Linked DNA regions of Mus musculus. The protein of the gene in region 4 purifies or fractionates together with the protein of the main gene of each other region. This does not show direct contact. Links are inferred from orthologs where the notes say so. Each region holds a gene or a part of one and is shown on either strand. Other genes may lie near its edges. The genes, in order: Ripk1, Ripk2, Peli3, Map3k7, Tgfbr1, Fkbp5 and Xiap.

Evidence for each region.
Region 1: the proteins of Map3k7 (region 4) and Ripk1 purify together in Homo sapiens (affinity purification with western blotting; 5 studies listed by BioGRID, with this or other methods). This does not show direct contact. The link is inferred for Mus musculus from reciprocal best matches to the Homo sapiens genes MAP3K7 and RIPK1.
Region 2: the proteins of Map3k7 (region 4) and Ripk2 purify together in Homo sapiens (affinity purification with western blotting; 4 studies listed by BioGRID). This does not show direct contact. The link is inferred for Mus musculus from reciprocal best matches to the Homo sapiens genes MAP3K7 and RIPK2.
Region 3: the proteins of Map3k7 (region 4) and Peli3 purify together in Homo sapiens (affinity purification with western blotting; 3 studies listed by BioGRID and IntAct, with this or other methods). This does not show direct contact. The link is inferred for Mus musculus from reciprocal best matches to the Homo sapiens genes MAP3K7 and PELI3.
Region 5: the proteins of Map3k7 (region 4) and Tgfbr1 purify together in Homo sapiens (affinity purification with western blotting; 3 studies listed by BioGRID). This does not show direct contact. The link is inferred for Mus musculus from reciprocal best matches to the Homo sapiens genes MAP3K7 and TGFBR1.
Region 6: the proteins of Map3k7 (region 4) and Fkbp5 purify together in Homo sapiens (affinity purification with mass spectrometry; 4 studies listed by BioGRID and IntAct, with this or other methods). This does not show direct contact. The link is inferred for Mus musculus from reciprocal best matches to the Homo sapiens genes MAP3K7 and FKBP5.
Region 7: the proteins of Map3k7 (region 4) and Xiap purify together in Homo sapiens (affinity purification with western blotting; 3 studies listed by BioGRID). This does not show direct contact. The link is inferred for Mus musculus from reciprocal best matches to the Homo sapiens genes MAP3K7 and XIAP.

The regions. Positions count from the first base shown.
Region 1 is NC_000079.6:34,015,863-34,019,362, forward strand, and holds part of Ripk1 (receptor-interacting serine/threonine-protein kinase 1), read left to right. Parts: intron 1-1,134; coding exon 1,135-1,284; intron 1,285-3,500. UniProt on the Homo sapiens protein: Serine-threonine kinase which is a key regulator of TNF-mediated apoptosis, necroptosis and inflammatory pathways.
Region 2 is NC_000070.6:16,160,844-16,165,062, reverse strand, and holds the start of Ripk2 (receptor-interacting serine/threonine-protein kinase 2), read left to right. Parts: upstream 1-1,419; 5' UTR 1,420-1,666; coding exon 1,667-1,839; intron 1,840-4,219.
Region 3 is NC_000085.6:4,936,593-4,940,092, reverse strand, and holds part of Peli3 (E3 ubiquitin-protein ligase pellino homolog 3), read left to right. Parts: intron 1-1,914; coding exon 1,915-2,044; intron 2,045-3,500. UniProt on the Homo sapiens protein: E3 ubiquitin ligase catalyzing the covalent attachment of ubiquitin moieties onto substrate proteins. Involved in the TLR and IL-1 signaling pathways via interaction with the complex containing IRAK kinases and TRAF6.
Region 4 is NC_000070.6:31,991,607-31,995,106, forward strand, and holds part of Map3k7 (mitogen-activated protein kinase kinase kinase 7), read left to right. Parts: intron 1-106; coding exon 107-237; intron 238-780; coding exon 781-910; intron 911-3,267; coding exon of another isoform or gene 3,268-3,348; exon of another isoform or gene 3,349-3,404; intron 3,405-3,500. UniProt on the Homo sapiens protein: Serine/threonine kinase which acts as an essential component of the MAP kinase signal transduction pathway. Plays an important role in the cascades of cellular responses evoked by changes in the environment.
Region 5 is NC_000070.6:47,408,722-47,412,221, forward strand, and holds part of Tgfbr1 (TGF-beta receptor type-1 isoform 1 precursor), read left to right. Parts: intron 1-1,930; coding exon 1,931-2,056; 3' UTR 2,057-3,500. UniProt on the Homo sapiens protein: Transmembrane serine/threonine kinase forming with the TGF-beta type II serine/threonine kinase receptor, TGFBR2, the non-promiscuous receptor for the TGF-beta cytokines TGFB1, TGFB2 and TGFB3.
Region 6 is NC_000083.6:28,402,650-28,406,149, forward strand, and holds part of Fkbp5 (peptidyl-prolyl cis-trans isomerase FKBP5), read right to left. Parts: coding exon 3,436-3,500; intron 200-3,435; coding exon 1-199. UniProt on the Homo sapiens protein: Immunophilin protein with PPIase and co-chaperone activities. Component of unligated steroid receptors heterocomplexes through interaction with heat-shock protein 90 (HSP90).
Region 7 is NC_000086.7:42,066,598-42,070,635, reverse strand, and holds the start of Xiap (E3 ubiquitin-protein ligase XIAP), read right to left. Parts: upstream 2,801-4,038; 5' UTR 2,580-2,800; intron 2,486-2,579; exon of another isoform or gene 2,280-2,485; coding exon of another isoform or gene 2,154-2,279; exon of another isoform or gene 1,764-2,153; intron 1-1,763.

The DNA.
Region 1 (3,500 bases), on a different chromosome or scaffold from region 4:
TTGCTGATGTCTCTTAAACCTTAGTCTCTGACTATGATCAAGATATTCACAGACCTGTTAGACCCAGCAGATACACACACCCCACATAGATACCACATACATATAGACACACATACACAGAGAGAGAGAGGGGGAGAGAGAGAGAGAGAGAGAGAGAGTGCCTGAAATATATTAGGTACTCAGGAGACCTTTGTTGAATTAGTCATCCCAGTTTAGAATAAACTCATGGGGTAAGTAGACTACTTTATAGTATAGCTTAGCTTGGGAGTTGCTATAAAACTCCACTATTCTTCTAGAGTAGGAACTTACTACCAGGCATACACCCCATACCTTGATTCTATTTGTGAATGAGCCTTTTTCATTATCTACTGTGGACAGTTCAGTCAGCTGGGAATGGAAAGGTAACTAAATCATTGTTTGTACAGGGGAAAAGTCATCCTTCGGTTTGGTTAAGTGTGGAAAGGAAGGACTACTTTCTGTGACTTCTTCGTGATTACTAACCCCAGTAGATCAGGGATCACCATCTCTTTGCTGATATCTCTTAAACCTTAGTCTCTGACCATGACCAAGATATCGACAGACCTGTTAGACCCAGCATTTATACCACAAGCACCTCCAAAGTAGCATCCCCCAAACAAGTTGCCAAGTTTATGAGCACAGTACAGGTTGCTTACCACCTGCACTGAGTGGCACAATAAGCAACTTTAACTGTTCTCATCATGATTGTTTTTACCAGAACCCATCATTCTTACTTCTAGAGTATTAGTTAGCATGTATATTTCAAGTCACTCTCCTTAAACTGAGCTTCTTAAAGCTCAGACCATCCTGTATTTGCCTCTGTATTGAACTCGGGAGAATGCCATGACTTTACCCGTTTGTTTGTTCTGTGAAAAGGTAGCTTTGTTTTGAATTTTGTTTCTCTTCTGCAAAATCAAAACATCATCCTACCATTTCTGTAGTAGTCTGCATCAATTCCTTGCCACAAGACTGTTACTTTATGGAATGAGACAGCCATGGAAAAATCATATCCTAGATAGAGAGACAAAAGAGCAGTATTATCCAGGTCCTGGCATCTTCCTGCTTGAGAGTAAAGTGTAACTGAAAGCCCCAACTGAAGTTCACCCCTCTTTGCAGATGTCATCTGTACTGAGCAGTTCGTGATCTGCATAAAATCTGGGAACAGGCCAAATGTAGAGGAAATCCTTGAGTACTGTCCAAGGGAGATCATCAGCCTCATGGAGCGGTGCTGGCAGGCGATCCCAGAAGACAGGCCAACATTTCTTGGTAAGAATGGGTTGCGTGCCTATTTAGGATGCATCTAACATAGTGACTCTCTTCAGTAAGGTGACACTGGTAATTTAGTTACTTTTCCTATTGCTATGACAAAATAGACGACAAAGCAACTCAAAGAAAAGGTTTATTTTGGCTCAGTTTAAGGGTAAAGTCTACCATGGCAGGACGCCACAGTAGCTACAATACAAGGCAGTTGCCCACATTGCATCTAGAGCCAGGAAGGAGACAGACATAGATGCTGGCAGTCATTTGCTCTCTTGTATTCAGTGCAAGGTCTCAGCCCATGGGATAATGCTGCGCACATTCAGGGTGAGCTTTCCCTGCTTCACACCCCCACAGGCACACCCAGAACTGTGTTCCCTAGTGTCACCCAGAAGTGCGACCGTAAATCCAATCAAGTTGGTAAGGAAAATCAGCCATCACAGTTAGAAACATATGTTGAATACCACATCACATGTAGCTTCAAACTGACTAGATAGATATCAAGCACCTTGTCAATGAAAAGGTCCTACCCGTCCCCAAAGCATGGGCTTCTTCATTTCCTCCTTTAGTTTCGGGGGATTAGCACTGTTATTGTTTTGGGTTTTGTTTTGTTTTGTTGTTTTGTTTTGTTCTTTTCGAGACAGGGTTTCTCTGTGTAGCCTTGGCTGTCCTGGAACTCACTCTGTAGACCAGGCTGGCCTTGAACTCAGAAATCCGCCTGCCTCTGCCTCCCGAGTGCTGGGATTAAAGGTGTGCACTACCCGGCTACTGTTACTGTTTTGAAGCACATATAATGCTTTCCATTTTAGCTCTTGTAAGTATACTGTCCAGTGGTGTGAAATCCATTCTGCTTTTTCAACATTTACCACAATTTATTTCCAAGTTTCCTCAGCCAGAGCACAGCTCTGTACTCGGGAAGCATTAGCTCTGCGTCCCCTTTCCTCTCTTCTCTTCCCAGCCTTAGCAGTCACCATTCTGTTGACTTTGACTTCCCCAAGTGTCTCATGTAAGCCAAAATTGCACAATACTTCTGTTTTGTATCTGTCTTGTTTTACAGACTAAGTCTTTAAGGTTCATCCATGTGGTAGTATGTGTCCGAATTTCCTTTTTATTGCAGAATAAGATTCTACTCTATAGATAGTTTTTGTGTGAGTGTTCATCTGTTGATAAACACTTGCCCTAACCATTTCTAGCTTCTTTCACTTATTTGCCTCCCTAGTTAACATTCTTATTAGTATCCTTAGGAATGAATTCTGCCATTTAGGTTAGCCCTGTAGTTGAGGAAATTGAAGGAGACATGAGCGTTTGGCCCGTTCTGCACCCATCCTATCCCCTAGATTACCTAGGAGTATGAAGTAGGCCAAAGGAGAAGAGCAGAGATACAATAGGAGGCATTCAGGAATGTACAAAGCATCATGTTGTTGTATTTATGTGAGAAAAGAGAACTGGAGTGCCACCCATTCCCACTGTATAGACCAAGCTGACCTCAAATTTACAGAAATCCCCTGCCTCTGCCATCTGGTTGCTGTGATTAAAGGTATGCCACCATGCATAGCTAAAGCCCCATCTGTTACAAGTCCCACAACTCCTGACCGTGTTGCTGGCTGAGGACCAGGTCATACACTGAAGGTTGTTCAAAATTCAAACTGTAGCATTTTCTTGTAGGTTCTTAAACTTGTTCTAGAGTTTTAGTTTGATTCATCTGTGGTGTTTTTTTCTTGCATGGTTTTCAAGGACATTCTAGGCATGATATTATCCATATGTTATTTGATCATATGGTTTAATTTTCCAGTTTGCCATTTTATCACCCTGAGTTAAGTATGTAAACCTTTCCTTTCTCCTTATGCATTTCTCATTTATACATGTGGAATGCATCAGACTATGTTGCAGCTTTCCTTCAGTCTTCATAAACTCTAAAAGAAAGTTTTTTGCTTTTATTTACCCATTGTTTTGATTGTCATGCGTCATTTTTCCGATGCTACATATATTTACACTTCTAACACTATGCAGGCTATCATGACATTCCACATTTAAGAGCTTAGTCTCATGTGACTATCACCACATGGTACCCACTTAGGATGCCTAGGCTTCTGCCCAGCTGACTATGAGTTTGGGTGTATATTCCCCATCTCAGGCTTAGAATAGACTCATCTGGCTCAAAAAATATTGCACTTAAATATAACTCAATGTTATAAAACATTAAATTCAGAAACAACCAGATAGAA
Region 2 (4,219 bases), about 16 Mb from region 4:
CAGCATGTATACGTATATATATTCTTAGTTGAGATATATACACATTATATTGTAAGTACATATTTTTATATTTTTGTATTTTGTTTATGTGTATGTGTGTTGCCTGCAGAAGCCAGAAGTGTTGGTCAGATTCCCTGGAGCTGGAGAGCAGGCAGCTGTGAGCTACTAGATTCGAGTACTGATAACAAACCTCAGATCCTCTGGAAGAACAAGCCCTCTTAACGGCTTACCCATGACTCCAGCCCAAGAAAACATAATCTTAGAATGTAGACTTGTAAAAAACTATTAAGAACTAGAGTATAGGGAAGGAAATGTCGGTGTTATATATATTACACTAATAATATAAGGGACAATTACAGATTGTAGTATCCTGGTGCGTGTAGGATCGTGGAACTATATCGCTCACAAATATGAGATATTTGCGCCAAACATCGTACTGAACAGTTATCTAAGTAGAAAGGTGTTTACAGTAAAAAGATGAAATAGTGCTGGATTTTGGTTGTTTGGTTTTGTTTGTTTTTGCCTTTGTTTTTCTTTTTGGATGGAAGACTTCCCAAACACAAGAAATGGTTTTATATTTCTATTTGTGAGTAGGCTTTGAGGAATAAAAGAAGAAACCGTTTCCTGGTAAGGGAGCAAGTCATATAAGCTAAACACCTCAATTTGTCACACTGACAGCGCTAGCCTCTCTACCTCACTTCTCACAAGTGGCAGCCACTGAGTAAAGACTGGAGTGGAAGCAACCAGATGGTTTACAGCTCAGGAAGTGGGGCACCAGGCTCCCCAGCAGTAGTCACCCCACACCCTATCACGTCCAGGGTTTGGAGTCTAAGGAAGACACTCGGGCCAAAGGAAAATCCAGCCGACCCACCTGACACCAGACTGGAGAACTCCGGAGGGATTTTCCCCGGAGGAAATCTTTTCCAAGCCTCAGCGATGTCCACCCGGCTTGTGGGGGGAGGGAGGCCTCTGAGACACGCCCATGATCTGCAGAGGGAGGAGCCGGCAGAGGGAGGAGCCCGCAGAGAGGGGAGCTTGCAGAGGGAGGAGCCGGCAGAGGGAGGAGCCCGCAAAGATGGGAGATTACAGAGGGAGGGGCCGGCGGAAGGAGGAGCCAGAGGACAGAAGAGCGGGCGGAGGAGGAGCCGGCGGAGGGAGGAGCTGGGGGAGGGCGGAGCCGACGGAGGGAGGAGCTGGCAGAAGGAGGAGCCGGCGGAGGGCGGAGCCGGCGGAGGGAGGAGCTGGCAGAGGGAGGAGCCGGCGGAGGGAGGAGCTGGCAGAGGGAGGAGCTCACAGAGAGAGGAGATTGCAGAGGGAGGAGCCGGCAGAGGGAGGAGACCGCGGAGGGAGGAGCCGGCGGAGGGAGGAGCCGGCGGAGGGAGGAGCCGGCGGAGGGAGGAGCCGGCGGAGGGAGAAGCCAGGGGTAGGAGGCAGGGGCTGAGGAGTTGGTGAAGGTAGGAGCCCGCCCAGGGAGGGCCGGCGGAGGGAGGAGCCCGCCGAGTCCAGGAGGAGGGAGGAGGACGGTCCACCCCGGCGCGGCCGCAGACCCGACGGGCTCCCTGGCACAGCTGACCGGGCCGGAACTGCAGCGGCCACGCGGGAATGGGCCGCCCCGGGACCTAGCGCCGCGGCCAGGGTCGGGCGGAGCCGCCGCGCAGCCGGAGCCATGAACGGGGACGCCATCTGCAGCGCGCTACCCCCCATCCCGTACCACAAGCTCGCCGACCTGCACTACCTCAGCCGGGGCGCCTCTGGCACGGTCTCGTCGGCACGACACGCAGACTGGCGCGTGCGGGTGGCAGTGAAGCACCTACACATCCACACGCCGCTGCTCGACAGGTAGGGCGCCGGCGCGGGGCCCCACACAGACGCGGGCTGGGTGGTCCACAGACCGGCCGCACTATGGCGATGCGCCGGCTCCGCCGCGGCGAGTCCTTAAGTCCTTGGGCTAACCTGATCCAAGGGAGAAACCATCCTGGACGTGCGTCAGACTTTGCAACTCGCCCTGCCTCTCCTCCCACCCGAGGTGTTCCCACTCTCCAAAAACCTGCAATCACGGCCACCTCTAAAACCCTGTTTATTGAACCCGACGTGTGTTGGTACAGTGCTTGTGGGCTTTGCTTTGTTTTAGCTAGCTGTTAGCGGTAAGAGCTGTGGAACTCTAAAAACTGCTCTTGGAAATGAAGTACGCAGTGACTGCAAAATACACACCGGAGTTTGAGCATTTAGCACTAAAAAGAAAAATAATAATACTATACCGGTGTTTTTATATTGATTAAACGTCAAAATATTTTTCTAGGGTTTTATGTGTGTTTCACTCCTGCTCCTGAGCCTGCATATTATGGCTTGGTTTGGTTTGATTTGGTTGGTTTTGTTTTCTTTGTGGTTTATTACGTGCCCTCATGAAGTTCAGTTATCAAATTCTACATTACCAGTTGTTATTCGAGCTCTTGCCTTGGAAGTCCCCAAAGGAAGTGTGCAATGTTTTTTGTAACAGTAAAATGAATCAAAAGCTATTAAATGGTCAAAATTTGTGAAGAATAAAAGTTTTGACCATCCCTTGCCCTGGTATTATTTGTGTCCAGCTCCCACATATTCAGAAGAAAGAAAAAAAAAAAGCGTTGGTTTCTGTTTCTAGGAAAACATTACAACTAAATACCATAGATCTGTGGCTGTATGTGTTAGTCAATGGATCTAGTCAGAACTCTTGTGTGTTTCACTTCCATCAGAAATTGAACTAGACCTTCATTCAGTTCTTAGTGCACTTGCTAACCTTGGTGGCTACAGGCCTCTTCTCCTGCTGGATCTAGTGTGAAAATACAGAGATCATAGCGGCCCTATTGGTCAGAGGCTGTTAACCCTGGGTATCAGGTCAGATACAGCATCAGATAACTAACTCTCTTGCTTCAGCCCTGGTAGAATGTTGGACTTTCATCTGCCTGGAGGCGCCCTCCCTCCCTCCAAGGGCTAGATCACAGTGTATGTGGAGCCAGTGCTGTGTGTGTGTGTGTGTGTGTGTGTGTGTGTGTGTGTGTGTGTTCACGTGTTCGAGCACGTGCGCCTAAGTAGTCAACTTTAAAGGGAGGTTGGTTAGTACCAAGCAAACGAATGGTCTATGGAAATGTAGCACTAATAGACCACTAGGTAGACTAAAGCTAGTTGCTTTCTCACTTTTGATTCTGCTTTTCAAAGCTTCGTTTGTGCCATTTGTAGGCCAAGGGAAAAAGATGGACAGGATGGTATTGCTTTCCCATATTCACCAACCACTTATGGTATAATTTCCTTGCATTGGATAGGGCATTGTCTTTATAAAACCAGCACAATCCCCTACCTTACTGCATTGCATTCTTTTATCTTGCTGTCTAAGATCTTACCATGAGCACAGGCCTAGGCTTATGCAACTGACTCTGAGGGTGTCTTACTTCCTCACCTGTTAAATATGAATAATAAACACTGTATGTATATTTGTTGTGCTCTGGTGTGGATAATGTACCCATTGTTCTTTAAGATTACCTGAAAAGAAAATAAGTCTAGGTGACGTTGCATATTATTTTAATAATTAGTGAGTCACTCTCCATTGCCAGTGAGTGGGACTTCCATAGCAGTCTTCCAGCCTTAATGGACTGATGACTCTGATTGGTTGTTCAAGTACCCTAGAGATGGAGAGCTGTTTCCTATTGACATTTTGAGTTAGGCCATTTTCATGATACAATTATTGAAGCTGTATTTTGCATTTTAAGTTTCTAAAAATCTTTTGCTTTTGTTTTCCCCCTCAATCTTGTTGAATTCTAACCTCACAAACTATCTGATTTGCTTTTCTCATCAAACAATAGAATAGAAAAGCACAGATGTTAGAGTACCAGGGCTACAATTTAAATCTGACTTAAACCCTGTCACTTTGTATTGTTGTCACCAAAGGATCATTCATTTTTTTCTGACTGTAGATGCTCCAATATGTAAACCAGAGAGAATGAAACAAGCTTTAGAGAGTTGATTCAAGGGTTGGACTGTATATAAAATGGCTGGCAGGGAGGAGGAATACATCATACCTTTCTATGTTTGTATGTACATGCATGTGTTTGTATTAGCATACACACATAGGAGATCCATGTGCTGCTGACCCACATGCATGATGGGTAGGCCAGAGGTCAACTTCAGGTATTGTTCCTCAGGACCATTAAGAGAGAGAGAGAGAGAGAGAGAGAGAGAGAGAGAGAGA
Region 3 (3,500 bases), on a different chromosome or scaffold from region 4:
GCCCCCAAAATCAACAAAAAGAAGAGAGAGGGAATAAAGGAGAGAGATGAGAGAAAAGAAAATAGGAGATATAGAGAAGAACCCCACACCTCGAGAGGCAGAATCTCTGGATGGGTCTAGCGAATATGAATTTAAACAAACTCACCAGGAAATTCTAATTGGTCCTATATTTGGCATCTTCTTGTCTCCCTTTTTGAGACAGGGTCTCACAGAGCTCAGGCCGGCTTCCATCACTCTCCCTATGTAGCTGAAGATGACCTTGAGCTCCTGATCTGTATTCCTCCCAAGTTACAGGCATGAGCCAGCAGACTGCAGTCTGTGGTGCTGGGACTGCAGGCATGAGCCAGCAGACTGCAGTCTGTGGTGCTGGGACTGCAGGCATGAGCCAGCAGACTGCAGTCTGTGGTGCTGGGACTGCAGGCATGAGCCAGCAGACTGCAGTCTGTGGTGCTGGGACTGCAGGCATGAGCCAGCAGACTGCAGTCTGTGGTGCTGGGACTGCAGGCATGAGCCAGCAGACTGCAGTCTGTGGTGCTGGGACTGCAGGCATGAGCCAGCAGACTGCAGTCTGTGGTGCTGGGACTGCAGGCATGAGCCAGCAGACTGCAGTCTGTGGTGCTGGGACTGCAGGCATGAGCCAGCAGACTGCAGTCTGTGGTGCTGGGACTGCAGGCATGAGCCAGCAGACTGCAGTCTGTGGTGCTGGGACTGCAGGCATGAGCCAGCAGACTGCAGTCTGTGGTGCTGGGACTGCAGGCATGAGCCAGCAGACTGCAGTCTGTGGTGCTGGGATTACAGGCATGAGCCAGCAGACTTCGGTCTGTGGTGCTGGGATTGGAACGCAGGGTGTTGCTCATGCTAGGCCAGTACTCTACCCACCGAGCTCCACCCCCAGCCCTAGGTTCAGCCACTTCTGATATTCTTCTCCAAAGCTTTCTGTGCCTCCCCACTTCTTAGAGAAAAGCATTCTTAGCTTGTTATTCTTATCACTATACCACCCAAGTCACTAAATCTTAGTCCTCAGGGCCTTGGCTCAAAACCCAATAATTTTTGGCAAATCTAGGTGAGTGTGACTACAGTCCAGTGACCACAGTCCAGCCTTTTGTTGTTGTTGCTGCTGCTGTTATTGTCTTTGCTTCTTAGCTTGAGACAACTCATTTTACCTCCCTGGGCTTTCACTTGTCTAATTTATAAAGTAGGAAGAAAGCCATTTGCCTGGCAGGACATTCTGCAGATTCCATTAGGTAATTAAAAACACGAAGGATCAGGAAAAGAGGCAGCCATCCCCAGCAGCAATCAAGGCAATGGCTCACCTCAGCCTTGATTCTCATGGTCATTCCCCCTGAATAAAAGCTGGAAAGAAAGGTGGAAATTAGACACGTGTGGAGATAATGAGGAGGAATTAGAAGGTGTTTTCTTCTTGGTCATTTTCGGACGCCGTATGATGAAAGCTCCTTTGCTGCAGATGAAGTCTTTACAGTTCTTCAAGGCCCAACATAGGTGTTTCCTCTCCCGGAATCCTGATTCTGGGGTTATTCCCACCTCCTCCCACTGGGCCTTGTGTGTGCTTGACTTGTGCCTGGGTCATGGCAGGCGGTGCCTGGGTTCCCTGAGAAGCTGAGGCTCAGTCCTTTCCTCCACTGAGCATGGCCGTGGTGCATCAGCTTTGCCACCCTAGCACCTGCTGTTACAGCTGAGGTATGCAGGGAACACTTGGCCCTTTAAAGGAGGGACCCCCACCTGCTACCCCTCAATTTAGCCATTTGCCATTCGGGGATTTTCTAGGTTTAGATGGTTCTAGCCCTTGTTCATCAAGGTAGGGTCTGCCCCAAGTTGGCAGTTTCCTTCGGGTCTCTTACGGGCTCACTCTCTCCTTTCTCTCCTTCCACCATCTCTTCACCACCACATCCACAGCTACAATGGGTGTCTGGCAAGTGGAGACAAGGGCCGCCGCCGAAGCCGCCTGGCACTGAGCCGCCGGCCACATGCCAACGGAGTGAAGCCAGATGTCATGCACCACATCTCCACACCACTCGTCTCCAAGGCAAGCCGCTCCTCCCAGTAGACTGAACGCCATCCTGTCCTTTGTGCCCAGACCTAGGTCTTCAGTCTTTTACCTGCCATGGCCTCTTTGGAGCAGGGGAGCCCACTGGGTCATTACTCACTCAGGAAATGGTGCTGATGGGTCTGGAGAGATGATGGCTCAGTAGGGTAAGAGGGCTTGCTGTGCAAGCACGAGGATTTGAGTCTGGATTCCCAGCACTTGCCAATTAAAAGCATGTGTGGCTATAACCCCAGGACTGTTGAGGGCGAAGACAGGAAGGTAGCTGGGGCTTGCTGGCTCTCATCCTAACCCAAAACCACAAGCTCCGGGTTCAGTGACAGACATAAATCGGGATAATGGCAGGCACCCAATGGCCTCTGTGGGCACACCCATGCACATGCATGCACGTGTACCACAGAACAGATACACCCCAAAATGGTGATAATAGACATCCTCTGCAGTGTGCCCAACCCCTAACAGCCTTTCAAATACTTCTTGGCTGCCATGCCCCATTTGTTGGTTAGATGTTTTACTTATTAACATTTTTAAAATTTATTTTTATGTTTGTAGATGTATGAGTGCTTGCATGAATGTGTATGCACTGTAAGCATGCAGTGCCTGTGGAGGCCAGAAGAAGGTATGGACCTGGAGATACAAACCCGTGTAAGCTGCCATATGGGTGTTAGGAATCAAACCAGGGTCCACTGCAAGAGCAGCCAGTGATCCTAATCACTGAGTCATCTCTCTAGCACCTATCAGCATTATTCTAGAGGTAGCCAACGCTCCAAGAGTGGGATGTGATGTCACACAATGTATTAGGGTTCTCTAGAGAAATGGAACATATAGAATGAATCTCTGTCTGCCTGTATGTCTTTCTCTGTTTGTGTTGGCCTATGGGGGAATTTATTAGAATAGCTTACAGGCTGTGGTCCAGCTAATCCAACAATGGCTGTCTGCCAATGGAAGGAGGGTCCAAGAAGCCAGCAGATGTTCAGTGTATAAGGATGAATGTTTCAGCTGATCTTCACCTGAATCCCAAAAAAGTGGACTGTAATGCCAGTGAAGGAATGGACCTGCTAGGGAGCGGGAAAGCAAGCAGGCAGAGAGCTTCTTCCTCTATGTCCTTTGTGGATAGGCAGCCAGCAGAAGGTGTAGCCCAGATTAAAGGTGGATTTTCCCCCTTGATAAGATCTTGATTAAAGGTTGTCTTCCTACCTCAAATATCCAGATTAGAAGTGGGTCTCACCACTTCAAATGATTTTTTTTTTCGAGACAGGGTCTCTCTGTAGCCCTGGCTGTCCTGGAATTCACTCTGTAGACCAGGCTGGCCTCGAATTTAGAAATCCACCTGCCTCTGCCTCCTGAGTACTGGAATTAAAGGTGTGTGCCACCACGTCCGGCTTACTTCAAATGATTTAATGAAGCAAAAATCCCTCACAGGTGTGCCCGCCCATTC
Region 4 (3,500 bases):
TTTTCACTGGTGTAGAAGTCTTATTTTTACATATGTCTTGTCCACTATTGAATAAGGCATTCATATTATTCCCAGCCTGTAGTCTGAAATGTGTCTGCTTTTCTAGGCTCATTCATGGACATTGCTTCTACAAATACCAGTAATAAAAGTGACACAAATATGGAACAGGTTCCTGCCACAAACGACACTATTAAACGCTTGGAGTCAAAACTTTTGAAAAACCAGGCAAAGCAACAGGTTTGTTATTAAAAGTAAAATTGTATGTTTTCTTTACTAGTAGTCACAACATTATACTAAAGTTATAGATTATTTGCAATCTTCTGATATGTAACAATCCTGAGTTTTCTTTCTGTACCAGACAAATAAGCTTGTGGTAAGAGACATGAAATTTTGCTGTCATTTTTTACCAAACAACTTGTTTTCCTTTCTCCTGTCTGTTGCTGTTGTTAGCCCTGCCCCTTCCTCCCTGTGACCCATCTCTAACTAAGGGTCCTACAAACAGTGTGAAATGTATTTAGGTTCTATGGACCAGTTAAGTTCTCACAAGGCTGTCATCCTGTTAGGTTGGTTGTATTACGGCTGTTGTTGGTAATAAGTGATTGCTTTGAGCCGTGTATATCTGAGCCTGCTGTGCTTTACTAGGTCCCTCCGTTATAAGGTTCCCTGCTTCAGAACAGCACCATCAGCATGAAAAGCCACTTGCCATCTTCATCCTGGGCTGCCCAGGATCTCTACAGGAAAAGATCCTCAGTAACTGAGATTGACCTGTAATCCTAACAGAGTGAATCTGGACGCCTGAGCTTGGGAGCCTCTCGTGGGAGCAGTGTGGAGAGCTTGCCCCCCACTTCCGAGGGCAAGAGGATGAGTGCTGACATGTCTGAAATAGAAGCCAGGATCGTGGCGACTGCAGGTAAAGGGGCTGCAAGCCCAAAGAGAAAATGCCTATGGTTTTACATGGTACTCGCGGTTGTATTCAATAGGGCCGATGGGTCGTGTCTTATATCTGCTTTCTAAAAACAGATGGTGGGTTCACGGTGTTTTCTAAGCTTTCAGCAGTAAAGGTTTTGGTTCAAATTTTAAATAGACAAGTATGGCTTAAAATGTATTTGGATTATAAAATACACTTCCTAGTTACAGACTTTCAAATGTAACAAATATATCAAATATATTTCTCCTCAAACATAAACAAGCTTCAGAAATCAAACTTTCACCAATACCAGAGTATTTTCTATGGCTGAGTAATTCCAGTGTTTTTATGCTGAGCCCAAGAAACGAAACATGATTGGCAGGAAATTGTGCCCCAGGAGCTGTTGTCCTGCTCTTCCTGCCAGCGGCCAGAGTCGCCCAGCTAGCTGTTTGCTTATCTGATGATAGAATCAATAGTAGTAGTTTCATCAGACGTTGGCTTTGATAGTGTTTAAATTTCATTTTGTCAGCTCTTAAAATGTACAATAGACAACGTAGCCAGAATTAAAAAGAATGGCATTTTGTCACCTGGTGAACCAGCACCTTTTTTAAACCGGGTTTCACTTTAGTGGTGCCAATTTAATTTGAGTCTTATTTTGTTATTTCTGATCTTCCAAGGTTAGACAAGAGTGAATTGTAAAAATGAGCATTGTATTGGAGCATGTAAAAGTGTAAAACAAATAACAGTAAAAACTTGATAAATTCTCCTCTTCGGGGGATAGTTTCGATGTATCTGCATATCTTTTAATTATATATACAGAGTTTTAAAAAAAATGTAAACGGAGATGTTTTCTAAGTAAAATGTTCTGATTGTGTGTGTTCTCTTTGTAGAGAGTGGCATCCAGATGAACTGTACTGTACTTGTCTAAACTAATCACAGTCACTGATTTATCAACCTGCACTAAAAGCCTTTAGATAGGAAGGACTGTCTGAAGAGACAGTGTTTAAACACTAAGCTATTGAGCCCACAGAGACAAGTCTAGATTTGCCTTGTGGTCTTTAGGCACTGGTTTTCTATCTCTGTGTCACAATCTCTGTTGTTTAACTTCTATCCTCAAGGTTACCGTGTGGTCCAAAATGGTTGTGACAGCTCAAGCCGTCACTTCACTGCTCAGGTAGCAGGAAAGAAAAGGAAACAGAAGGGGGGAAAGCTTTTGAAACCAATTTCTGCAGCTTCCACACTCATTCCACAAGGGGTCTGAGCCATAGCTGAAATTGCTGCATTAGTAAAGTCAGAGCCCATGCTAAGGAGAAGAAAAGACTAGAAATGAGTGGGGAAATAGCTGTCTCCACCTGAGATAAATCCTCAGAAAACGTCAGGTTCAGTAGAGGTCAGTGCCCATCACTGGTCTGCTGGTCTCCATGAAGCACAGATGTCTGTAGACAGAGACATACTGCCAGCATTGTTGGGGGTCCACTTCAGTTCAGTTATCATCCAGAATACACACATAATGTTGATTCTGCCCTGAAAGGGGAAGTAATGTTTTCATAATAGTTTAGGATTTTGCTAAGCCTGTTTTTCTAATCAGATACAGATTTGTAATTACATATTATAAGAATGACATTTTTCCAGTTTAAGGATAATCATACATAAAATTAGTTTGTCCTCTCTACCTAAATGTAAGACAATACATCCTTTGAATTTTAAATAATTTGAATTTTTAATGAATTATCTTACTTTGAAAGGTTCATATTCCAGCTTTTGACAGTCTTCCTGTTTAACAGTTATATACTCTAAACGTTTAAAATTGTAATAAATATTCAGTTTATTAGAAACACTGTAGATAAACTTAGGGAAATATGTTTTAATGCTTTGGTATGATGACTGTTGATAATCACGGAATTTGATTTATAGCACACTCCAGGACGCACCTAACTTAGGATCTTCCTGCTCCTGTTTGTGTCGTAAGCACAAACATGGCAGCTTGTCTTACTAACTCCTGCACCTCCTGTCCTGCCGTCCCTCCCGTCACCTCATACCACTGATTTTACTTAGGTACACTATTTCTAAGAACACATCGGAAATTTAGCTTCTTCAGTGTCCTGCAGCTTTGTCTCTCTCTATTTGTTGTTGGGTTTTTTTCCTGCTAATTAAAACCAGTGTGTAAAACTTCTGAAACTCTTTGCTCTTTAACGTCGCCTCCCTAAGCATGGACGAAGAGTTAGATAGTTCTGCATGCCCTTTTTTTTTGCATGAGATGGATTCACACAACTATTTCAGAACTGTTCTGTTGTGCAGTCATTTCCTGTGTTACTGTGTGTGGTTGTTTGCATGTATACTGTACATGTGTGTTTTTTCAGCCTATTCCAAGCCTAAACGGGGCCACCGTAAAACCGCTTCATTTGGCAACATTCTGGATGTCCCTGAGATCGTCATATCAGGTACCATAGACCACCTGTGTTGGTGTAACGGCTGTGGAACTGGATTCATGATCCCGGTACTTTTAAATGCTTCTTGCTCCAATTTGCATAGGATATGAACAAATACCTCTCATGCTGTACCCAGGGAGATGGAGAGAAAACTGTAGATTGCC
Region 5 (3,500 bases), about 15 Mb from region 4:
GAGACCTAAGAGTAAAACTAAAAAATAATCTAAATGGTTCAACATATAGCTTAGTGCTAGCGTGCCTGCCAAGTGTGTATGAGGCCCTAGGTTCAGTCTGCAATAACACATGCATAAATGCACACACAAACCTCAAAATGATCCGTACATAAATGTGTCTTCCGGGCCATCTGCTGTTTCCAGTCTGGACTGGTTGCTTTTGAGAGCCACTGTGTGGCTTCTGTCCTGGAATTTCTTTTGCCTTTGTGTCCTTCCTGGGCCTTCACCTCCCTCTTTGTTTACTGTTCTTCCTGTTTGTATGCTCCTCTCTGTTAGAACTATTCTCATTAGCCATTTCCCTTCCCTCTGAGAATATGCTTTCCCTTGGCAGGCTTTATCTTCTCTAAATTGTTTTTCTTCTTGGCATTTACCACCTTAAAGGTTTGTATTTCACAGTAATTTATTAATTGGTCTATCTCCGAAATGGAAACTTTTTGAGGATAGAAATTTCATAAGTTTGTTCACTGCTGTATCTAACACCTACAGAAATATTTGTTAAATGATAGGCCTTCAAAAATAATTATTTAAATAAATGTTTATGTGTACTTTGGTACATGGTCCTTTAAATCTAGAAACATATTTTCTAGGAAGTACTTCTGAAGCAGTCTTAGGTAGTCTCCCATTGCCTTTGTTGTTTTTCTTCACCTTTGGTTACCTGACTATAAGCCTACCCACCCTCCAGGTTTTGCTCCACTTACTGGAACATTTATCAGCTTTGTAGTTCATTCAGGTTTTCCATGTATCTCCTCATTCTCCCTCCCCTTGCCCTCCTCCCCCTGCTCCCCACCTGACCTTTCCCTCAAGTAGTTATTTGTAACTATCTCTGAGTGTTCCTCCTATTCACTACGTACAGAACCTTATTATTCTATCACTAGACATTTGAGGAGTGCTGTAGTATAAAATACAGGGACTGAAGGGAACTCTGGGAAGAATAAAGTAACTTTGAGTATAAAGACTACACAGAGAGAATAAACTTAAAACAAAATACATGAACCAATGATGAATCCCAGGGGTTTGGTGGTGTGGTGGTACTATAGCCTGAACATGGTATGCATACTGTACAAACACTGGACCAAGGAGCTACACCCTGCCTACTAACAGTAGAGCTTTGAAAATCCAGTGTTCTCTCTCTACATCTTGTGTTGGTTTCACTTTCTTCATTTCATGTTACTTTTTTCAAATGTTCGATCAGACAGTTCTCACTTTTAATGAAGGCCTACGCAGGTGCATGTGATTGGAGCTTACAGGTGTACGCTTTAGTGATCTCTCGGGGTTATTTGATTGATTCTCTGGTCACTGTTAATAATCTGTCAGGCCTGTTCTCTTGGACTGCCCAGATCTCCAGGGGAGATTCCTTTGGAATCCACAAGAGTGTGCACAGGTGCTACTACTATGTTCCAGGAGAAGGCTTACAGTCAGAGTCCAGCATGTTTCCAGTGTGAGATACCTGCCCTTTTTCTCTGGGCAGAGAAGATGCCAGTCTTTCTTTCCTTGGACAAAACCCTTAAGCCTTCTGCTGGGCTGGAGAAGTGGCTGGGACAAGTTGGAGTGGGCAGAACCTGTGTTCCAGCACTTTGAGCTCTTCTCCCTGCTTTCTACCATAGCTTTGCTCTAAAGGACTCAAAGTGCAGTTATGTTTGGACCCAGTGTCTCGCGTGCCATAGTGTGTGCATTCTTTCAGTGCTGAACCAGGAATTCTGAGGTCTCCTGAAAAAGCTCCCCTGTCCACAGCCTTTCCAGTAGCTGGCACCAGGATCTTGATGGAGACTGAAGTCCTCATTTGATACTACAAAGAACCTAGAATAGGCACCTTATACCTATCATTTTAAAGTCACAGATCAATAACAAGTAGTATGTGTACATTAATTATTTTTCCTATGTTTTCTTATAGGCCTTGAGAGTGATGGCTAAAATTATGAGAGAATGCTGGTATGCCAATGGAGCAGCAAGGCTGACAGCTTTGCGAATTAAAAAAACATTGTCACAACTCAGCCAACAGGAAGGCATCAAAATGTAACTGAAACACCGTGGGAACTCTGCTCTCTTCATATCTGCTCCTGGGTGTTTAGGAGGCTGGTTGTTCTACCTCACTGAGAGAACAGAGGGCTCTGCTTCCTCTTGCAGCAGTGGAATATGGTCAACTGAAAGCTTCCCAGGGTTTCTCTGGGCCCAGAGGCAGCCGTGGGGTCCTTTCTGTGCACTATGGATACTTCTTCCAGACAGTTACAGAATGTTGTGTAGTCTACTTTTGTTTTTATTAACAAAGCTTGTTTTTAAAGACAACTGCCAGCCCTTAGGGAGCTGCTGTGCTGTTGACCTTCTGTAAGGGTGAAGGAGCTGGGGTGTGGCACTAAATGAAGCACTTCTGATTTTCACTCCTAGTAGTACATTCTCAGAGGACTCTGAACCACTAGTGTTTCCTTGGTTCACTTTGAATGTACTGTTCTATAATTTTTCAAGATCTTAAACTAACACTTTAAACTCTATAGTCTAAAAAATATGACCTCGTGGAGGCGTGGGGGCACAGTTGCTCCGTTGTATTTGTGCACAGCTCCTTCACACTCTGAACACAACACACCTTCACAGTAGGGTTGTGCTACACCAGTAAGTGCTACTTTTGCATCTGTCTAAGTGGAAACGAACAGAACTACTTAAAGGCGGTGTTAAGTCCTGTATCATTTTCATTCAAAAAGTTTATTTTTCTGAGTAACCTAAACCTTTTCTGGGTTTGTTTTTGTTTTTTGAGGGTTTTTGTGATAGATGTCATTCAGTCTTCATGCCTTTCTCCTACCCAGATGTGCTTGAACCACTGAGGCAAGGCTGTAGCATTGATAAGCAGTGACTGCCATGCGGGAACACCCCACAGGAGCACTGGAGCTCTGCAGTTGAGACGTTTAGCCTGAGTTTATTTTAAGAAGTGAAGTGGCACTCCAAACATGTACAGTGCTTTATGGATGTAATCATTATGGTATACAGACTCCTTTTGAAAGGGGAGGCTTGTCTATTGCCGAAGGAAAAGTTGTATGCTGTTCTGTAAGCCATTTCTTTTTCTTTATTTGATCAAAGCAGTGTTTTGTTTTGTTTTGATTTTTCTTTTTTGGAAAGGAATTGCATTTAAAATTCAAATGTGGTTAATGTTAAATAATAGGCCTTTTTCTAGGAAGGCAGATATAGTTAATATGAATGTACAAGTGTAGGTGACTTTCACATGTTATGTAGCTGTAAGTATTTGTGGATTCTATCTTGGGAAGGGTAGAGTTAGTGGAGTTTTGAGGTCTCACTACCCTTTGAGGAAGGCAGCTTTTAATTCAGTCTTTTTATCTCATATGTGCAGATCTTGCAACTGCTTGATTTACATGGTAGCAATGAATTCAGTGCCACGTTGATACTAGGAGAAGCAGCAACTAATAGCTATTCTGAGTAGAGGCTCTCTTCATATATTCTTGGTCATATTAAATGTC
Region 6 (3,500 bases), on a different chromosome or scaffold from region 4:
ACACCCTGCGGTCCCGCTCGTTGTGCTCCTTCGCCTTCCTCTGGCACATGGAGATCTGCAGGCGAGCGGCCCTGTTCTGAGGATTGACTGCCAACACCTTCTCGAAGTCGCCCTTGGCCGACTCAAAGTCATTCATGAGCAGCTGGGCCTCGCCCCTTCTGTACAAGCCTTTCTCATTGGCACTGTCCAGTCCAAGGGCCTAAGAACAGAAGGACAGGTGGGCAGGTCACAGGTTGGAAGGGACAACTGCCGCTCCTGTCACCTCAGTGCTGAGGCAGCGCAATCACACGGAGGTGAGCAGAACTATGCACAAGAGTCACGCAACAATCAACCACGGTCCACCCACTTGTCAGTATTTTAGTATAAAATGTCTCCAGCTCGGGGGTGAAGCTTGAGCCCCTGATGGTGCTGAGAGCTTTGACTGGACCTCACTCTGTAGACCAGGCTGCCCTCGAACTCAGAAATCCGCCTGCCTCTGCCTCCCAAGTGCTGGGATTAAAGGCTTGCACCACCACTGCCTTTATTATTATTATGGTTATTATTATGACCCTTATAATAAAAACAAGCCCTGAAAATCTTCCTGTGAGGATCAGTTAAGTGAAACCCCATGGTTCACAGAATGGATCTAAAGAGGTGAGTCTTTTCACACCAAGCTCAGTGAGGGACAAGTGTAGAATGCACTCATCTGACGTGGAAAGACTGCTGCTTTCACATAATAACTATGTCCAAATCTTTCTCTATTTAGTGTATATATATATATATATATATATATATATATATATATATATATTTGTGTGTGTGTGTTGTGTATTATACAAGTATGTATCGATGCATCTGTGCCAGCGAGCACACACACACACACACACACACACACACACACACACACGCACGCACGACAGGTATCTTCCCTTTTATTTTCTGCTTTATTTCTTTTGAACCTAGAGCTCACAATTTTCAAGTTTTCAGAGAGACTGGCAGTCAGCAAGCACTAGTGATCCTTTATCCTGATCCACTTAGTGCTCCCCTTCTCTGTGGGTTAGGCCAGGCTTGTATGTTGAGTGCCAAGATCTGAACTCGGGCCCTATATGCTTGCACAGTGAGTACTCTTACAGCCTCTGAGCCACCTTTCCAGTCCTAAATCTACATATTTTAAGAATACATATGCAAAGTCTGGGGTTTATCTTAGCTTGCCTAGTATATACAAAATACTGAATTTTATCCCTATCTTAAAAACAAAACAGCCGGGCGGTGGTGGCACACGCCTTTAATCCCAGCACTCGGGAGGTGGAGGCAGGTGAATTTCTGAGTTTGAGGCCAGCCGTATCTACAAAGTGAGTTCCAGGACAGCCAGGGCTACACAGAGAAACCCTCTCTCAAAAAACCACCACCAAAAACAAAAACAAACAAACAAATAAAACAAACCACCAACAGGAGGTGGAGGCAGGAGGACCAGAAGTTCAGCTACAAAGCAAGTCTTAAGTCAAACTGGGATATGAGAGTTTGACTGAAAAAAATAAAGCAGTTATTCTTCATTTGGAAAAACTAGGACTCTATAGAGAAAGATGCTCTGGGAGGGGAGAGAGACACTCAGTGGGAAGGGCACCTGCTGATGAGCTTCAGTGAGCTTGGTCCTTCAGCATGGGGGAAGGAGAACTACCCCCAGGCCGCCCATGTGTGTACCATGTGCACACGCACATGCAGACAACCTCTCCTACCATAGTAAATGTCTAAAGGATTGGAGAAGCCATTCCCGGGCTAAGAGCATGGCTCTTGCAGAAGCCTCGAGTTCAGTTCCCAGCAGCCCAGCAACCCTATCACAGCTGCCTGGGACTCAAGCTCTAACGATCAGACTCCCTCTGCTGGACCCAGGGAGCACCTGCGCATACACACACACACACACACACACACACACACACACGCGTGCGCGCGCCACATACAGATAACACAAATATTATCTGTACATGTACAAATATTTTAAAGATAAAGTAAATCTTTAAATGAGTGGCTTTGGGAGAGAAAGTTGATGGGAATTTTATAGCTGGGCTTTTTTTCTTTTTCTTTGTTTTTGTTTTTTCGAGTCAGGGTTTCTCTGTGTGGTGCACCCCTTTAATCCCAGCACTCGGAGGCAGAGGCAGGCAGATTTTTGAGTTCGAGGACAGCCTGGTCTACAAAGTGAGTTCCAGGACAGCCAGAGCTATACAAAGAAACCCTGTCTCAAAAAACCAAAAAAAAAAAAAAAAAAAAAAAAAAAAAAAAAAAGCATGAGCCACAACTGCCTGGCTTTTTTTTTTTTTTTTTTTTTTTTTTTTTTTTTTTTTTTTGATAGCTGGGCTTTCTTGTGTGCTTAAATTCTGAACTTTGTAACAGCTATATATTTAAAAAAAAAAACAGCACAAACTTTAAAAAGTATAATTAACAATAATATTCCTCTCTCAAGGCAAAACAAGCCAACTAAACTCTTATATAAAATGTCTTTTTTGCCACTTTATATCTATTTTTTGTTGTTTTTAAAAAATGTATTATTGTGCTAGAAAGATGGCTCAGCAGTTAAGAACACTGACTGCTCTTCCAGGGATTCTGAGTTCAAGTCCCAGCAAACACATGATGGCTCATAACCATCTGTAATGAGGACTGATGCCCTCTTCTGGTGGGCAGGTACAGAGTCCTCATACACATCAATAAATCTCTAAAATAATATATTATTATTACCTTTGTGTATGCACATGTAATACTATGAATGAGGAAGAGGCCAGAGGACATATGACAAAGTTGTTCTTTCTTTCCCACAAGGTCCTAGGAATCAAACTCCTGTCATCAGGCTTGACAGCAAGTGCCTTTACCAGCTGAGCTATCTTGATAATAGTTATTTTTTGAGACAAGAACTCATGTAGCCCAGGCCAGCCTTGAACTCTCAATTCTTCTGTTTTGCCTCTCAAATGCTGAGACCATAGGCATTAACCATGGTGGTAAATGCTCTGAATAAGAATGTCTCCCCCCCCCCCCAGGCTTATATATTTGAATACATCATCACCAGGGAATGGAATTGTTTCAAAGGATTAGAAGGATTAGAAATTAGGAAGTGTGGCTTGTTGGAGGAAGTGTGTCACTGGGGGTAGGCTGTATGGCTCAGTGGTAAAGTGTTTGCCTAGCATGCACAGTGCCCTGGGTTCAATCCCCAGCCTTGCAAACAAAACAATAAAGAGGGAACCTCAAGGCTCTTTGTCTCCTCTCCCACAAAGGACCAGGGTAAGGAAGACCACAGATGAAGACTCTTATCAATTCTGTTAATGGCTTTATGTAAAATGCAGGATAAAAGTAGTGCACAAAAAGCCCCATCCTTTATGGCGTCCCAGCTCATGCTGACCATAGAGGAACAGCCTGAAGGGGGCAGAGGTGCCACACAGATAAACGGAGAGTGAAGTACGGCTCACCCACCTTGTCGCAGCACTCCACGGCTTTGTTGTACTCTCGGAGCTTCAGGTAGCACATGGCCAGGTTCA
Region 7 (4,038 bases), on a different chromosome or scaffold from region 4:
ACACAGCCCAGGCTGACTTGAATTTGCAATTCTCCTGCACTGACTCCACAGTGTTGTTGGGATTACAGGTGAAAGCCACCACACCTAGCTTTCTTTCCCCTTTCTCTCTCCTATTAGTGTATATTCATTGTACAAAATAGTGGGTTATGTTAGTTTCAAAATTACATCATGTATTTTGATCAAATTTTAACATTTTCTTTGATATGCTCAACAAAACAAACAAACAAGCCCAGAGCCCTATACATGGTAAGCAAGTATTTACTGTACTACATACACCAATACAATCTTTACAGGCATAACCTTTTAAAAATAAGTTTAATCCAAAATGATTCTGTAAGTTAGATTTATCTGTATGTCAAATTTGATATCTGAATTTCATAGTTTCTACACTATTTGATAATCAGGAAGCTTATTCTTTAAAGATAAAGCCAAAGCTTTTTAGCATTTCTCATGAATACAGAACAGTAGGTAAAAGCCAAAAGAGAAACATAAATACAGACCTGTTCTGTGAAGACGAAATAAGCCATACTGGATTTTACAATAAAAATTACTGATAAGTGGATGTTCATAAATACCAATTGCAAATACTTATGTTGATATACATCTATGTGAGCTTTAAAACTTTCTAGAATAAGATCAAACTTGTTTATAATATTCAAACATGTAAGGCACAGGAGAAAAGCAAAGTTTAGTTTTCCATCCGTCTTCTTCAGAAGTAACCAGGGTTACCATTTTTTTTTATCTCTTTCATGGATCCATGTGACCCAATCCAAACAGCTATATAAGCTTATGTTTCTGTGTCTGTAGGTAGAAATCTATCTGACCTAAAATGTTTTCCATTCTTAAGTTATGGGGAAAACAATCCCTGACTCAAGTTTCACATACATGTTTACTACACTGAAAATGACAGAAATGTTAAATAGAATATACTTAGATATTTGCTTAGAGGTTATATTGAAGCAACAGGAGTGGGGTGGCCAGGGAGCTAGAAAATCTGAATTCTAATCTAACTAGCATGGCTAGCATGGTAACCTTACACAAATCATGAAACCCTGAGCCTTAGTTTCTGCTTTGTAAAACAAAAGAGTTGAGCTGAGATCCTTCCCAGCTCAAAAATGCTATAATTCTAAGATGGCCGGCTCTTAACAGTGTTCTCTTGAAACTGGCTACAAAAAAAAAAAAAAAATCCTATTAAGGAGAAAATGAGAAGAATGAAGAAACACTGTAGAACTTTCCAGTCTTTAAAAAAAAAGACATTTCTAGGATTCATTCACTATCAAGGTATAGCTAGGATGTCAGAAGTAGTGCCATAATTGTACTTGAAGGTAAAGTTGTAGATTATTACAAACTGATAGGTTTAGTCTTCCCCAAGGCTTATGTTCTCCTTTTTGGAGATGGAGTGAGCCACTGCTTAGTTTCAGCAATCACCACTCCCTTCCTCCCTCCCGCCCCTGCTTAAAAGAAAAACACCCCACAACTCAAGTAAACTGTGGAGTTCAACGGAGTTAAAGTAATGGAACTGAAAGTCATAAGTGACATTTTTTTCTCTCAGAAATATGCTGGGGAAGTGACCAAGGTGACAAAGAGGCAAAAATTACCAGCTACTTCCTCCTCTGGAAGCTCTTTGGCCCTCATTCTTTAGGGTTCACATGCCCTTGCCAGAAACACACCACCCTGCCCCATACAAGGTATCGAACTGGGGGGGGGGGCAGGGAGGTTGATCAAATCTTTTTTTTTTTTTTAATTATTTTAACTAGATTTACCTTAGGTGTCACGAAGTTTAAGGAGGCTGACCCGAAGGCTTGAAGCCAGCCCCCCTACCCACGGCTTCCAGGGGCAATCCCGGGGAGCCTGGATAGGGAGCCCAGTCCAGCATTCCCCGCGGGCGGGCGGGCGCGGCCTTCCCGCCCAACTAGGCAGAGCTAGCCCAGGCGGAAGGGAGGGGGAAGAAATGGAGGGAAGGAAAAGGAGGGAGGGAGGAGAAGGGGGGGAGAAGGAAGGAGGGGGGAGGAGGAGGAACGCGGGAGGAGGGAGGAGGAGGGAGGGAAGAGCAGAGCAGAGGAGAGGAGAGGGAAGAGAGGGGAGGGGAAGGGAGGGGAGGGGAGCAGAGGGAGAGGAAGGGAGGGCGGGAAACCCACAAGAGCTGTACCCACCGCGCCAAGCACTCCAGTCCTAACTAAGCGCCGCGGGCGACGGGTTCCCGAGGGGAGGGTCCCGGAGGAGGGGCGGCCCGAGCCCGGATCAGGAAAACACAACTCTGCTGGGCGGCGGGCCCCGGCCTAGGAGAAGGAAACGGAAGTCACTATGTCTGTCTCCCTCCCTTCCTTCCTCCCTCGGCCTTCCCAGGCAGGACAGTCCCATCGGATAAAACTCGAAGACCGGAACCAAGTGCATCCACGTCAGGACTTTTAAAAAAAAAAAAAACTCAACCGGTGCAGCCCGCCAGCTTCCCGGGCTCGCCCAGCCACTGGCCTCAGGCCATGTCCTTCCCACCGCCACCCCCATCCCCTCCCCCGGGAGCTCCGCTCCCGCCCGGCAGAGCCCCTCCTTCTTTCCCACTCCGCCATCTTCCAGCCTACCTCTCTGGCCGAGCGGCCCTCGATTAGCGTCGCGCCCGCTCGGGGGACCGCCAAGGTCCCGCCGCCTCCCAGAGCCGGAAGGGGACATCGAGAAAAACCCCAGTCCTCATTATGCAGCCCAACCCCCCCCCCACCCCCCAACCCCCGCCTCCCCAGCTCCAAGCCAGAGCCTGACCCAGCGGCTGCACATGCGCACAGGTCACTTCTCAGTCCCCGCCCCCGACTCAAGCATTTCCTCTTTTAGCATCCAGGACTTTTTCTCTCCCCCCTCCCCACCGCCCCCCAGCTTTTACCTGGACTCTAGGGTGAGGAGTAGGGGAATACAGGTAAGAAGATTAAAGACCAAGGGGAAAAGGGCACAGTACATTGAGCTCTCACAGGATACCAGGGACTCTGCTAGGTATATAACATATTCCTCAATGTTATTTTGAAAACCATGGAAGGCAGAACACCTCTATTAAATTCCACCCTACAGAGGAAACTGAGCCCCGGAGAAAATAATTATCCCAGTATCACCCACCCGACAAAAAAGTAAACTGAGATTAGAGAATCGGTTGTTTCCAAATAGAGGAAGCTAGAAGGAATGACGAGACAGGGAGACAAAAAGAGGGTGAGAGAAATTTGTGAAGAACAAAGAAAAATAATAGAACAAAGATGGAAAAGACACAAGAGAAGATTATACAAAATGGTGATCATGCTATATGCTTGTAGGGTTGTCAGATAAACCTATACTTAGGTTTCAGGAACTTTGACTCTTAATGGCTAGTGTACTAAGATGGATTGGGTATATTTAAAAGGAGAAGACCATGGGCACCATCTGCCTGGTTAAATAATGCTGTCCTTGATGAAAAGGAACTTGGAAGAGAAGACAAAGAAATGTATTTGGTTCTTCAACTTTTGCCAATGTAATATTCCTTCTAATGCAATCTTTTTTAAAAATTATTACATTGTCTTACTGTATGAGGTCAGAGGGCAACTTGAGTCTGTTCTCTCCCAGCATGTGGGTTCTAGGGAAGAACTAATGTCCTCAGATTTGGTGGTGATGCCCTTCCCCACTAAGCCATCTGTGTCCCAGGCCCCCTGGGGTGTACTCTTACAGCTCTGAAAATTGCATCTGACTTATTACAATGAAGGTAATTCCAAGCGAGGGCTGGGAATGAGGCTCAGTAGTAGATCACTTGTCTAGCACATACAAGGTTGAATTCAAACCCCACCACTGCCAACAAAACAACTGCAAGCAAATACTGATCTCACCTGTCCAGCACTCTTAAATAAGCAAACCAACAAAGCTCCATCTTTATCAACAGAAGGGTCAGAAGTTCAAGGCCATCCTCAATAGGAAGTTTGAGGCCAGTCGGAGATGCAAGGGACCCTGTCTGGGAAAAAAAGAAAAGAAAAAAAGTCCCAGGCTACCCTCATTTGTCTTGATATTGTCCACCATCAACTCATTTAGAAGAGG